Drosophila melanogaster: one gene and its partner. The protein of the gene in region 2 interacts with the protein of the main gene of each other region in a pairwise test. Each region holds a gene or a part of one and is shown on either strand. Other genes may lie near its edges.

Evidence for each region.
Region 1: the proteins of CG8569 (region 2) and Klc interact in a two-hybrid assay, tested with the Drosophila melanogaster proteins (2 studies listed by BioGRID).

What each region holds. Positions count from the first base shown.
Region 1 is NT_037436.4:12,744,717-12,752,779, reverse strand, and holds Klc (kinesin light chain), read left to right. Parts: upstream 1-2,723; 5' UTR 2,724-2,817; intron 2,818-2,940; exon of another isoform or gene 2,941-3,070; intron 3,071-3,881; exon of another isoform or gene 3,882-3,973; intron 3,974-4,097; 5' UTR 4,098-4,122; coding exon 4,123-4,724; intron 4,725-4,838; coding exon 4,839-4,959; intron 4,960-5,025; coding exon 5,026-5,505; intron 5,506-5,576; coding exon 5,577-5,882; intron 5,883-5,949; coding exon 5,950-5,967; 3' UTR 5,968-6,164; downstream 6,165-8,063. Other genes in the region: CG10984 (uncharacterized protein), read right to left, coding at 1-1,473, 1,925-1,978, 2,041-2,173; CG32109 (uncharacterized protein), read right to left, coding at 6,302-6,483, 6,544-6,799, 6,855-7,051, 7,312-7,372; CG32112 (uncharacterized protein), read right to left, coding at 7,848-7,971, 8,034-8,063. UniProt on the Drosophila melanogaster protein: Kinesin is a microtubule-associated force-producing protein that may play a role in organelle transport. The light chain may function in coupling of cargo to the heavy chain or in the modulation of its ATPase activity.
Region 2 is NT_033778.4:12,516,481-12,523,250, forward strand, and holds CG8569 (uncharacterized protein), read left to right. Parts: upstream 1-2,685; 5' UTR 2,686-2,752; coding exon 2,753-2,867; intron 2,868-2,932; coding exon 2,933-3,990; intron 3,991-4,050; coding exon 4,051-4,704; 3' UTR 4,705-5,144; downstream 5,145-6,770. Other genes in the region: CG13151 (uncharacterized protein), read left to right, coding at 1-778; CG8818 (uncharacterized protein), read right to left, coding at 924-1,108, 1,161-1,294, 1,357-2,327.

The DNA of each region.
Region 1 (8,063 bases), on a different chromosome or scaffold from region 2:
AAACGGAATAGGGCGCCGGCTGTCCAGATATGCTCCTGGCCGCCTTCGAGTGAACGCGTATTATCTCCTGCTCAACGTTCATGCATAGTTTCTCCCGCTCCACGGTGTGCGCTTCGATCAGATCTCGCCTGGCCTTCTCCTGATCCTGATAGATCCTCTCCATGGCCTGCGGAACAGTGCGTGGAATATCCGGAACTGAGATCGTCGCATTGCGTCTTAATAAGTAGGATTTCTTTGTCAGCAGATACTCGTTGTAACCTTGCGGAGGTCTTGGCTTCACCGGATACAAGCTCTTCCACTTCTTTTCGATCTGACGACGGATGCTCAAGAACATCTGGAAGCCATTGGTGAAGGGATGGTCATGGGGGTGAGATTCTTCGGAGTTGACACCGGAATCCGCCGCATTTGAGTTCTTCGAACTGTCGTCGGTGTTTTTCGGTCGAATCTTTCGCTTCCGTGGATGGAGTTCCACGTTCGAGGGATTTATGTCCTTGGACGAGGATGTCGACGACGTCGACGGGCTTGGAACATTGGTGATTGCCTCCTGGTCAAACTGGTGGCCCTGCGGGATCGGACTAGATGTCATGTTGCTATAGGAGAGCTTCACATCTGCAGGATCGTTGGCATGATTCGATGACGCTGGCGATGGAGAGCTGCTCTGCATTTGCGGGGAGGAGTTATTGGAACTGCGCTCCACACTGGTCACTCCAGTGCGATGAGAGCTTCGCAGGACCCTCAGGTTCTTTTCGTCATTGAAGAGCTTTATATTCTTGTCATCGAGGGCTGTGGAGCAAATGCTATTGCTCTTCTGTGGACTTTCGTGCGGGCTAATAGATTGATTGGTTATGACGGTGTCAATGGAATCGCTATTGGAGCTGACCACATACGGCAGGGCGGCATTGCGAGAGGCAGTCACCTTGCCAGTTCGAAGCACATTGCCCTCAGTGTCGATTGAGCAGTTCTGCTGCGGAATCACAATTTTTAATGGCGGCACTTTGAGTCCTCCGTTGTATAGGCTGTCGTTACTCTTGTAATCATCGCTGCACTCCGTTTCGTTCTCAATATCTACATTCTTACTAGTCTCCGCCGGCTCCTTTTCGGCATTGGAAGCGCTGCTTTTGTTTCCTGACGGGGATCCCTTCGTTGCAGCTAGCTTGGAGCTTTTCTCCACGCGCGATGTGAGCTTCAGGGAGGCCCCCTTCACGTCCTTTCCATGCTCCGAATCCTTGCGCTTCTTTTTCTTTACGTCCTCGCCAGATTCCTCGTAGTCCTCCTCTATGTCTGAGTAGCAGCGCTTGGCAGCCGAAGTTCCCTGATGATTCGTATCGCTGGATTTACCATCGTTGCTGCTCTCCTCCGCTGAAGATTTGTCTTTCGTGTCCAGGACCTCTTGCTTCTCATTCAGGCTGCCCTCGTCAGTCTCTGCGTCTCCTTTCTTGCATTCATTCTTCTTTAAGGTGGTGCGGGATGAATCTGCAAGAACGAGAATCTTATACATTACATTTGACGGCTGTGTGATTTAGTTTGGAAGATCATGTAGGAAGTAAAATGAAAGCTTATTGTCTATCGGATATCTTTTCGGGTGGAATTTGTAGTTATGTTTGAAGGAAAACCAACTAAAATGATTTTGTGTGAAAACTAAGAACTTAAGCATCGTTAAATGAGTTGTTTTTAATTTTGGTTTCTAAAGTATTAGCTCGGATAAGAGACAGGGTTTTTTTGACATCTTTACACATATTTCTTCAATAATAATTGGTATCTTCATTTGAATCAGTTAAATGACAATTTATCCGCAATCGAAACCAGTTTCTCGGATACTTTTACATTATTCCTGACTCTCAGATACATTTATGTATGTACATACGTAGATATGTACATGCATAGATGTATATGCGTGTAAGTATGTACGCAGCGAAGTACCCACGATGTAAATTGAAATTCAAGCCGACGAGCAAAAGTTCTAAGCTTTGTGACTGAACTATAAAATCCACTTGAATCATGTGAAAAGTAGACATTCACTTAATTATTTTGCTTATTTACCTGTCGACGAGTTGGCTGTCATTTGGATGAGCAGAGCCATTTGCTGCCTCTCCGACATTGGCGTGTTTGAGTTCGATCTGGGTTGGGTAGCTCCTGTATTAAATCCTATCCCCTTCGGTCTTGGGGGTGGCATACTCTTTTGTTCAGTTTTAGACGGTAAAAATTAAAATATAGAACAAAAACGGAGACTTGAAAAAGTCTTGCAAAATTTATTACAAAAAGAATAGTGCGACCGTATCGTGAATACAAAAATATGCCAGCTTGCTAATATAATAACGATGTTTTCAAATCCATTAAGTTAACAACAAATTAATTTATATATTATGTGTACAAATTTCAAGATACACCTTTAATTAGTTCCAAAAATTAAATTTTTTATTGAACTAAATCAATACCTGCTCCACCAAGGTATGTGCGTTTGTTGACCTCCAACATGTTATAGATGCTTACAAATAGCATGTTGCGCATTATTACTTTTAACTACTACTTTATTTATACTACATCTTAGCTATTATACGAAGTCTTATTGTTAGTCTACCCGATTTTTTCAGGAATTTTCATTTCTTTAGTTAGTGTTTCGATTCCACTGCGTTCTCCTCCCGACAGTGTGACCACTACTGCACAGTTGAAGAAAATCCTAGCTTGTCAAACACAATTCAACGCCCCGGCTACGGTCACACTCAGTTTTATTTTAGAAGTTTTGCAGTGTAAGATATTTTTATAGCAAATCTACGCACTATTTCGCTTATTTGAGGAGTTTGCAGAGCAAAACCGCTGGTAATAAGTTACAATATTTGAATGCACTGCGCGATAACTTGCATAATCATTTCCAACTGGATTTCGAACGACAAAATCCATTCACCCACACACAAACACATCTACTTGAGCTTATCTGTGTATGTACATATGTTGCACATAAATATAAGTGACTGCCACTTGAAGAAAAGTTTTTTACTGGAAAATATGATTCGTTTTACATAAATAATCAAGTCTAGTTGGAAAAGTGCTCGGCGGCAGCTCGTGTGGCAAAGTAAACACAAATGGAGGCCTAAGGCCTAAGTAATCGTTTAGCATGATAAATACTAAATACAATCTCTTAATGCCACTAACTTTTATGTTTAAGTGTTCATAGATATTATGTACAAAAAGTGACTCACTTTTTAATACACTGGAATTAGTGAGCTGGGGTGTTGTAACCCCATTTGCAATATTTATAATCTGACTATTCCAATCACAATATTTGGCGATCTTGATTAAGAATAAAGCTATTTTCTCGAAAATCAACTTACAATCTCATTTTACGCAATCTAGATTTCCGATTCGAAAGGCAAATGACTAAAGAAAACTATAATTTTGAATATGTTAGGGTACTAATAGCTTCGGTCTCTAAAAAACTATACAATTTATTTTAGTTGATGTAAGCAGCTACTTTTGCCATTCGTTTTTTGTTTATTGCATGACGCCAAGTGTAATTAACTTTCGCCCATAATTATAACCATAATAAACGAACTAAATGGCCTTAAACACTTTTTAACGAAGTGTCATGTTTATGTAAATCACACCGGCAATGTTGATAAATAATAAATAAAAGAAAGTTTTCAAAGCACAGTATTCGATATAAATCGAATATGCTTCCACCATTAGTTTCCAATTAGAAAACATAATTGAATGAACTGGAATTTGTTTGGCTTAAAAGTAAATTGAAGTTAACTTAATCCAGAAAGTTGATCCCTTACTTTTAATAGTTTCTGTAGTTTCTAAAAGTTATTGTTACAGCGAATGTAATAGCGCGGGCATTTTCGATTATCAACCACCTTTTTTAACGTGCATGCGCACTGCGAATTTTCTTTTTCATCGTATTGATTAACGCAGCTAGAATCGTTTAATATACGGTTAAAATGATTGTCTCCAAAGCTATCAAATCATACAGGATGTAAAACACATCAAATACCTCGATTAACACCTTTTAATTTTGATATCATTCATGTTGTTACACTTTCAGATGTCAGAGGGTTGTAGGAGCACTTACTAATCTGTATTTTGTATGTGTTTTGTAGACAGAAAATTGAGAAAATCGGCAAAATGACGCAAATGTCGCAGGACGAAATCATAACCAATACGAAAACAGTCCTTCAAGGCCTCGAAGCCTTGCGAGTGGAGCATGTTTCGATTATGAACGGAATCGCCGAGGTGCAGAAGGACAATGAAAAGTCGGACATGCTGCGAAAGAACATCGAGAACATCGAACTGGGCCTCAGCGAGGCCCAGGTGATGATGGCCCTGACATCCCATCTGCAGAACATCGAGGCCGAGAAGCACAAGCTTAAGACACAGGTGCGCCGCCTCCACCAGGAGAACGCCTGGCTTCGCGACGAGCTGGCCAACACTCAGCAAAAGTTCCAGGCATCCGAGCAGCTGGTGGCCCAACTAGAGGAGGAGAAGAAGCACCTGGAGTTCATGGCGTCCGTGAAGAAGTACGACGAGAATCAGGAGCAGGACGACGCTTGCGACAAGTCCCGCACCGATCCCGTGGTCGAGCTATTCCCGGACGAGGAAAACGAGGACAGACACAACATGTCGCCCACTCCGCCCAGCCAGTTCGCCAACCAGACTTCCGGCTACGAGATTCCAGCGCGTCTCCGTACTCTGCACAACCTGGTCATTCAGTATGCATCGCAGGGAAGGTAAGTCATCATCCATGCATTTTATTTTACTCGTGAGCACTAAAGAAACCCCTTACCTACAACATCGTTATCTATCAATTCATCATTAACTATAATAGCCTAATATATTTCTAGATACGAGGTAGCCGTTCCCCTCTGCAAGCAAGCATTGGAAGATCTCGAAAGGACAAGTGGTCACGACCATCCCGATGTAGCAACCATGCTGAACATTTTGGCTCTCGTGTACCGCGATCAGGTGCGTCTACGCTTTGATTAACTTAATTTATACAATCGTTAATTAACAACATCTCGTGCCATACAGAACAAGTATAAGGAGGCCGCCAATTTACTCAACGACGCTCTGTCGATTCGAGGAAAGACACTGGGCGAGAACCATCCAGCCGTGGCGGCCACGTTGAACAACTTGGCCGTCCTCTATGGCAAACGTGGCAAGTACAAAGATGCCGAGCCACTGTGCAAGCGTGCCTTGGAGATCCGAGAGAAAGTCCTGGGAAAGGATCATCCCGATGTTGCCAAGCAACTTAACAATCTCGCCCTGCTCTGCCAGAATCAGGGCAAATACGACGAGGTTGAGAAGTACTACCAGCGAGCTCTCGACATCTACGAATCAAAGTTGGGTCCCGATGATCCCAACGTGGCCAAGACAAAGAATAATCTGGCCGGCTGCTATCTGAAGCAAGGTAGATACACCGAAGCTGAAATCCTCTATAAGCAGGTCTTGACGCGAGCCCACGAACGTGAGTTTGGAGCCATCGACAGCAAAAACAAGCCCATTTGGCAGGTAATGTTGTGTTGTTGTGCTGTTATGCCTGGTAAATACTCAAAAGTTCCTTTTCTTACTACAATTTTCAGGTGGCTGAGGAGCGTGAGGAGCACAAATTCGATAACAGGGAGAACACTCCATATGGCGAGTACGGCGGTTGGCATAAGGCCGCTAAAGTGGATTCGCCCACGGTCACAACCACTCTAAAAAATCTGGGAGCACTTTACCGACGTCAAGGCATGTTTGAAGCGGCCGAAACCCTGGAAGACTGTGCAATGCGGAGTAAAAAAGAAGCCTACGATCTAGCTAAACAAACGAAGCTCTCACAATTGCTAACGTCAAACGAAAAGCGACGATCGAAGGCAATTAAAGAGGATTTGGATTTCTCTGAGGAGGTGAGTTTCAAAATCGAATCACTTAACTTAATTAACTTAAATTAATCATTCCCATTTATTCTTGCAGAAGAATGCGAAACCATAAAAATATTATTTGTTCATCGCCCACAACGGAATCTTTAAGTTTATGATTGAAAGCTAACAGCAAACACACACTTTATTTATTCATTCCTTAATATACATAAGCTCTCAAGCATACATTAGCAAATAAACAACGTTTTATACCTTGTTATTTCAAAAAATATGTACCGCTTTTAATAATAAACCAAATATATTTAACATAATCCTGTTTGTATTTAAACCTTCAAAACTAAACCAAAAATACGGACCAGATATAGCACATTACAGTGGAATCAGCTTAACATTTATTATTGATAACAAACAGTACGATTAGTTTGCCTACGATAACTGAGTATCAGTTAGTCGCTATCATTGTCATTTAAAATCGAGGAAACTATGCCTGCAAACTGCTCAGCCCGATCCAGAAATTGTTCCCGAGTGAGACTCGTATCGTTACGTAGATTTTGCGCCGTGAGGAGTAAGTTTTCAAAGTCCTTCAGCTGACTATCCAGCTCGTCGGCACTGATTTCCTCCTTGTGATCTGCAAATCAATAGGACGAAATGGATTATTGGTTTCTCAACTCAAATCCTGGGCACTAACCAGAACCAAACTTGACATTGGACCAAACTACGTTTTTCAAACCCTCCACAACTTCCTCGTAGTCCTTTTCAGCTTCATCTGGGTCACTCTCAACATTGCTTCTCAATGTTATGATGTCAAAAAGGAAATTCGTTTTCTCCTTAATTTCTCCAAAGGACAATCCACCTTCTTCTGAAGTGGAAGAGGTTAGCAGAAAGCCCAGCTGAATCTGTTCATTCTTCGCTAACGTCTTGGGAATAGTGTCGATAAAGGAGGTCTGCAAGTAATTGTAATATAATAGATATACTATTATTGCTTTTATAAACACTTACGTCTTGTGAATCAAAGTAAATAATCAACGCCTCGGTTGCTTGAAGAATTTTCTCCGGCACAGCTTCCAGTTTTCCAGAAAATGGAATTAAGTTGATAGAAGTGTTATAGTACTTGGTTTTAATGATGCACTTATAACAATTAAGTGAGCACTCCGTTGATGTTGATTCCTTCGATTGATTCACTTCAGATAAAATATCTGCAACAAAATGGAACGTATAAACGTAGTAGTAAACGTATTTATGAATGGGTTTTTTTTTTAACAATCCTTTATACTCTTATAAAAATGCATTGTATGATTAGTATGCTGTATTCATACCAACAGAATAAAAACATTTAATTCGCCTGTATTACTCATAAATTTCAAATAAACAAAGCTGCAACAACGTGAAAATACTGGGACAACAAAAATAGGGCCTTTGAAGAACACTCTGTACTTTTTCAAGTAACTAATCTTACTTTCGACTATTTCCAGTGCAGGAACTGCTCCATAAGATAAAACAAGTACTACTGGATCCATTATATTGCAATTTCTTTATTTATTTCAGTCAACAAAAACAAAAGCTATGCACCAGTGTGACCAAGCTTCGAGAACGAAAAGTTCTGAACTCCAAATGAATAAAGCTTTGCTTTTACCGGCACTTTTTTAAAATGTTTTTTTTTTTTTAATAATTTACATATATATTAAAAAGGAGGGAACGCTTTATTTCAGTTTCCCGGCTATAGGATACCCCTTACTCAGCTGGTACGAAAGAAGAAAAGACTATTTTTTTAGATAGCTCACTAGCTCACTGGCGTTTATATTTATTGTCGATTGTGGTCGTTTTGGTGGGCGTGGTAATATAAATTAGAAAATATATGGGGAACCAGTTTCCATTCCAAATCAAGAAAACTGTACTCCTTCCCAAGTAAAATACCTAATTATGTACAATTTACTAGACTTTTCTTTAAATGGCAACATATTCATCATTATGTTTTGATATGCTAACTTATATTTACTGAATATTTTTGTCATATCTCTTTATCAACTGCTCATAGGTTATATCACATTTCAGGCCCTCGCCCACGTCATTCTCATAGATTTTCTTTGCCCGCTCGAAAGCCTCAATAATGCAGGATCTGAAAAGAAAAGTGATCTATTATAATTTTATTTAAATTTATAAAGAAAACTTTATGCCCACCTAAATAGCTTCTGATGCAGAACGTAGGCG
Region 2 (6,770 bases):
CTCGTTGGGTAAGCTGGAGGCCAATTCGCCACATTGGCCGCGGCAGTGGCCCACAGAATCACCCTTGTTTGGTGGCAGCTCAAAACTCATTCCGCTCGATGGCGACGCAGTCTTCTGCTGCGGTCTTAGCTCCCAAGTAGATGCAGTCCAGGCATATGAGCAAACCTCAGAAGCCTGTCAGCAGTTTTACGAACACTCCCAGCGCTTCAGCACAGCCCACGCTACGCCCGCACCCTTGAAAAAGCAGATCAATCCTTTTCTGCAACTACTTCACTTTGTGCTCAACGCGGCTGCCGTGAATGCATGGATCCTGTTACGACTTTCGCCCAAAGGCGATGCCGCTATGGATCAGCGCGACTTCCAGAGACAGTTGGGACTCTTCCTCACACAGCAGAGATTACAGCGACGCCTTCAGCGAAGATCCACCAGCACTTCGCTCGTGATGCGACTGCAAATCTGCGAAATCCTGGGCCAATCCAGTCAGCGGCTGCTCAGTGAGGCGACCGGCGAGGCGAAACTAACGCACAGCGTAGGCGTGCTAACACCCGACAAGATGAGCCTGCCCTTGGGCATTAATTTGGCTAGTCGGTACGGAGAGAAGCATCGCAGGTGCAAGCCCTGCGCTCGAAATAAGCGTGGCACTAAATCGCGGACGCGGTGCCAACAGTGCTTGCAACATCGATGCGGCAACCACTTGATATCCCGCTGCTACGAATGCGTCGGCATTTTGCCTGGCCAACTGCCCGAGGGCAACATGGTGGATGAAGGAGCCACCTGAAGATGGATATTAAATAACATTTATTGAAGAGACACTACATTCCTTGTGGGGGCTTGCAATATGGGGATGCTTGCAATATTGCTCAATGGTGCAAACACTTGTGCTGTAACTACGATGACAACGGCTTAACGATGGAAACTGGGGACTAGAACTTGTACTGGAAGGACTTGGGTGCCTTGTACTTGCTGGCCATTCCCGAAGAGTCCACAGGATCGCTCTGGTCGAGGAACAGACTGAGGAACTGTTCGTTCTGCAGCTCATTTAGCGGCATCTCTAATTCACTGCAGGATTTGACAATCTCAGCGCAGGCTCGCAGATCCTTGCGCATATCTAAAAACGAAACGGGAGTTACATAATATTCGGTTGTGTTGCACAGACTCACATTGATAGTTAAAGAGCAAGCTGAGGCAGCTGGAGCAGGCCAAACGCTGCTGGTGCTGCAAGAACGCCTCGATTAGCCGATGCACCGCATCAACATTGTTACGGGCCAGAAATGAAGAGCACAAAGAACTGGCTCTGCAAGGAAGGTTACATTGGGATTCAAATTTCGGGTTTTTAAAGAAATTAAAGCGACTTACCTCCTCTCCACTAGCTCTTGCAGCTCCTTGTAGTGCTCAAACAGTTCCGAAGCCGATTTTTGATCGCAAAACCAATCGCTAGCGAAGCATTGCTTCCACACACAGGCCACCACAAAGATGTCCTTGTGCTCGCGGTGAATGGCACGCGCTACCTCCAGCAGCGACACTAGCACCGCCTCACTCTTCTGGGCCAGAGTCTCCTCGGAAATGGTGCGGAATGCGGAGCGCGCCATCCGCCTGCCCTCCTCCGAAGTCATGCTTACCCCGTAACCGCGATGTAGCGTCATCAGGGCCACGTCGGCGTTACCATTGTTCCACAGGGCGATGGCGCGGAAGGGCGCCAGATCCGCGTAGGTCTGTGAGAACGGGTGCTCCAGCTGCCGACAGGTCTCCGCCAGTGCCTCCAACTGCTGGAGCTTGCGCTGCGCGCTCAAATACTTTAGACAGGACACGAAGACCTCGTTGGAGGGCAACAGGTTGCAGCGGATGCACTGACGTATCAGGTAGAGAAAGTCCAGCTTGTTCTTGATCTCCAACGTGGCCATCAGCAGGTTGTCCAGCTGCGCCTGCGACAGGGATCTGATATCCAGTCCCAGTTGGGGGGAGCGCAGCGCCTTCAGATCACTCATCATGCCCTTGGACATAAGACCCACGTTCTGGCTAAAGCTGGTACTACCAGCCTTTCGCTGCGTTCCCACATTGCAATTGGCGTCCGCCTCCAGATTTCCGGACGATGGCCTCTTTATCAGGCTATCGCGCAGCTCCTCCCACTTTTGGGTCTTTCTGGTCACCAAGTCGTTGGTGAAACAGTCCATGGGATCGAGATGTGTGGACTTCCGACGTTGCCGCTGCGTTCCCGGCCACAAGAAGGCCGAGATGTAGTTTTGGAAACGCTGCAGGCCCTTGGGTGAACCGGGTGCTCCGGCCACCGTGGTGGTGCCGCTGCTGGTCAATCGCGTCAGCATGGCCATGACTTGGGGTCACCTCCGCGTCCTCCGCTCTTCTAGACACGCCTCCTTTGCCCCGTTTTTGTCTCGGATTGTATAAGTTGTGTATATTTTTTGTTTTCAACAGTGTTACCGTCGCTGATCCGTGTGAAAATGCCATCGAGGAATACCATTATTACGAATCATAGCAAGTTGTTACTGAAATAAACTCAGATACTTTGTTTCACAAATGTTTAAAAATGGAATGCTGCATATAATTACAAACTTACTTTTAAGTAGAGTCATTTAAAAATCCATAAATTTGTATGTAAATTTAAAGTTACCCCTACGTGGCAGCTCCTGTTGCCTATAGTTGGCAACGCGAGTTCACCCAATCCAGCAGTCCGGCAACGCTTCCAGTTAGCCAAAAATTGATTTCATTTGCAAGAAAACTTTAAAACGCAAATGAAATGGCCAGCGATATTCCACCTTCAGCCATCCGTATTTGGATGGACAAGCTGAAAAAGGGCGTTGGGCAGCCGGCGACAGTCCTAGAGCGTTCCCTGCTCAATTTAATGAGTGCAGGTAAGTGAACCATTGAATGTCCAATCCATAACGTTTGTCTCAAACATCTAAAAATCCAACTTCAGAAGCAGCCAGTTTATCGGTGAAAAATGCCACGGAGCGAGGCATACTGGTGGCCAGAGCAGGCGGCGGACGGTCCAAGCGTCTGGCCCTCGCCTTTTGTCAAAAAGTAAGCCGGCTGCCCAGCTCACCAATTGATCCGTTCTGCTTCGAGTGCCATTTGCCCGGAGCCGTTAAGAAATGCATATCCTGCCATCGCTCCTTCCACGAGAATTGCCAGCGACAGGACCCGGAGAAGCCCAATTATTCAGTGCCCTCGGACAAGGGCCAACCTTACCAGTTTCCCGTCAACGAATTGGACAATCAGCCCCTGAATAACACTCAGAACTTGGAGACTCCCCAAACGCCAACGCCCCTGCTCGATCATAATAGCAACATCAATCAGACTTTGCTAGCCACTACGGATTTCCTGAAGCACGAGAACATCGAGTGGGACGACGACGTCTTCTTTGTGTGCGAACAAAAGGGCGCGCGCCAGCGAAAGCTGCCCAGGATCAAGGACGAACTACAAAGCAGTTTGGATAGCGATGAGGGAAGCGATCTGGAGCGCTGCACCCACTGCCGTTTGCTCGCCCTGGCCGCTCTCCACAACCCACCGCAACTCGACAAGCAAGAGCTGGGCTGCCTATTGAAGTACTCCTGGGACCAGCATCACTCCTGGATCTCCATGGATGTGGCCAAGTACATGGCCAAGCATTGGAACGAACGCGACAAGGCGCTGGTTAAGCGGCTACTCTTCAAGACAAAGATTTTGGGTCTGGGCGACATCGAGCGCAACATAGCGGCGGCGAAGTATACGTACCTAACAGAATTCCTAATGGATCTGCTCGATCTGCAGCACAACATGGCCGTGTTCTTTGGGCAAAAGAGCGTTGAGTACAATGCCACCAAGTGGCTGATGAGAGATGTGACGCACGACATTCGCGAAATCCGTCGTTGCCCCGACTGCTATAGGTATTCCAACGAGGCCAGCCTGTCGGATCTCTGGTTCGCCAAGCCATGTCTTCAGCGGCACGAGTTGGTATTTGCCAAGCAGGTGGGCTCACCACCGTGGCCTGCAAAGGTACGTACGATATTATCATTACTATGTAATATATACACATAAATATAATTTCTTTACCAGGTGATGAGCGTCTCCAAGCGTCAGCCCATCAAGTACGACGTCCGCTTCTTCGGTGGCACTCATTCCCGGGCCCTCATCTCAGAACGTGATATTACACCCATCGAGTCGGACATTCAGTCGCATATCAAACCACGGAACTCCCGAGCTCTGAGCGCTGCGATAAAAGAACTGCAGTGTCACATGATGTTGTCCCACTATTCCGCCTCGCTATTCGGCTTCCATGCAGATCCCACCGTTGCCGAGAATCTCATTAAGGTGGCTCTATCCCACTGCACGGAGTCAACGGAAACGAGTGCGTCCGGCAAACGAGGACGCCCGCCGACTCCAGCCACTCCCGGCGCTGCAAAGAATCGACGGCTTAATAACACCACTTCGAATACCTCATCGCCGGTGCCCATTCGTGGGATTCCTGACTCCGTAGCATATGATAGTCTAACCGCCGAAATACTGCAGGCGCATAACGATCTGCTAAATTGCCGAAGAGAGCTCTCGGCCACGCAAAGGAAGCTGGCCGAAGTGAAAAGGAAGCAATGGTGCTACCATTGCCTGGATGAGGCCGTTTTTAACTGCTGCTTTACTGCGTCCTACTGCAGCGTTGAATGCCAGCGACGTGATAAGAGACGCCACCAAGCATCCTGCAAAGTTACTCATTAAATTAGGACTACAGACGAAATTGGAAACTATGTCCAAAGTGATAACATCTCGTTTGTTACCATCCTTTTGTATCAAATGTATCCGTTCTTAAGATATGCATCAATATTTTCAGAAGATAAAGAATGTTAAACTTGTATTAATGAAAAATATTATCAATGAGATATTTGAAAATGGCGCCTTTTCCGTTCTTATGATGGGCAGCACTGTTTCCGCTAGGTGTCGCCACCTGATCATATTAATCCATATTCATATTACGTTTATAAAAAATCAGAAAAAACGTACAATACTTTAAAAGTGTGGGCGTGGAACTTACTTGTACTTGTTACTAACAATATAAAAACTTGTTTCCTACCAAAAAATATATACATATTTTATAAGAATGGGTATTATTTCGTGCCAGCTGTATTCATAATAATAAACACAAATTATTGTTCATCCACAATATTTTCGTGGCATACTTAAATAATTACAATTGAAACACATGGAAAACTTTAATGACAGTTTCTTTCTCGATAAAACCAATCGATTTTGAATAGTATCTCATTAAATTCATGGTTTTTAACTGCTCTAATTTTAAATGGTTTTATTCGATTTATCAATATTTAAACCATGAGCAAGATCTGTTTTCCCGCAGTCGTCTTGCACAGCCATACTTATAAAAAAGGTTCCCAATTTATCTATTTAAAAAAGTGCGCAAGAAACATATACCAAATAAGCGAATCACTAAAGTGAATAGTTAAGTTTATACCTTAAAAAGGAAACAAGAAAGCAAGTCAAAAGTATTATTATTTTAAAAAGAATCGAAGGCCTTTGTACTGTGTATAACTAAAAGGAAATAATGGCAATCAAGCTGAAATTGTGCGTCGCTTTTCAGTTGATTTGTATTTATTATCTCACAGAGGTAACGAATTATTATAACTGAAATGTCATATTTTAAAAGCTTCTTTTAGGTTTATTCCCTAGTGGAATTTACAAACGTACAGTGCGAGACCTTGGATAAGGACTTTTCCCTATTTGAATATTGCTATCTTTAATCTGTGAACCGATCTTACAAATATGTTTCCCTCAAAGTTAAACTACTAAAGATACCCGTAACCAAAATTAAGGTATAATTTAGTAAACTTATATTTATACCTAAGCGATTATAATAAGTTACTGTTTTTTAATTCAGGTGCAATTTGGTCTCTATAAACGTTTGAATGGCTATAAGCCTTTTCTCTACAATATGACTCTTGACGGGTGCAGATTTCTAAAATCTAGAAATCCCAATCCGATTGCTCTGTATTTTTACAATCTCTTTAAAGATTATTCCAACATAAACCACACCTGTCCTTATAACGTAAGTATACCCGAAGTTGTTAAAGTGAATATTCATATTACATTCATTTCAGCATGATCTTGTGCTGGATGAAATGTCATATCATAGTATAAATTACAAGCTCACCGAAATACTACCCTTTCCGGAGGGAAATTATAAGCTTGAAGTGCATTGGATAGCCTACGATATTGATCGCGCTATAACTACGTTTTATTTCGCATTTTCTTAATAAGAAAAGGCTATCACAAATCAATTAACAAGACATCAAAAAATAAAGTAATTTACAAGACGAGCTTAAGAAATAATGTAAATGTAAAACAAACTTTGTAAAACTGTTAAATTATTAAGCAACAACAAAATAATAGAAAGAGTCCGTCGACTAACACATACCCTATACTCAGCTAGCGGAAGTGCGAGCGAGAAATGAAAACATTTTTCTGGCATATCGATAAAAATTGTAAAAAGCAATAATGCATGATATTGAAAGAACATTTAAAAATTTGACAAAAGTGTGGGCGTTCTAATTTGTATGTGGGCGTGGTGGCGACATCTGGAAACAAACTCTATGTGATCTTTAGTTTCTGAGATCAAGGCTTTCATACGGACAAGGCGAACTCGACTCGGCTAGCAATCCACGAATCCATATACCTGTTACATACTTTGCAACGTATCTAGTATACCCCTTGACTCTACGAGTAACGGGTATAACTACGTAATGTTCATGCTACCATTATGGATAATTACGCTC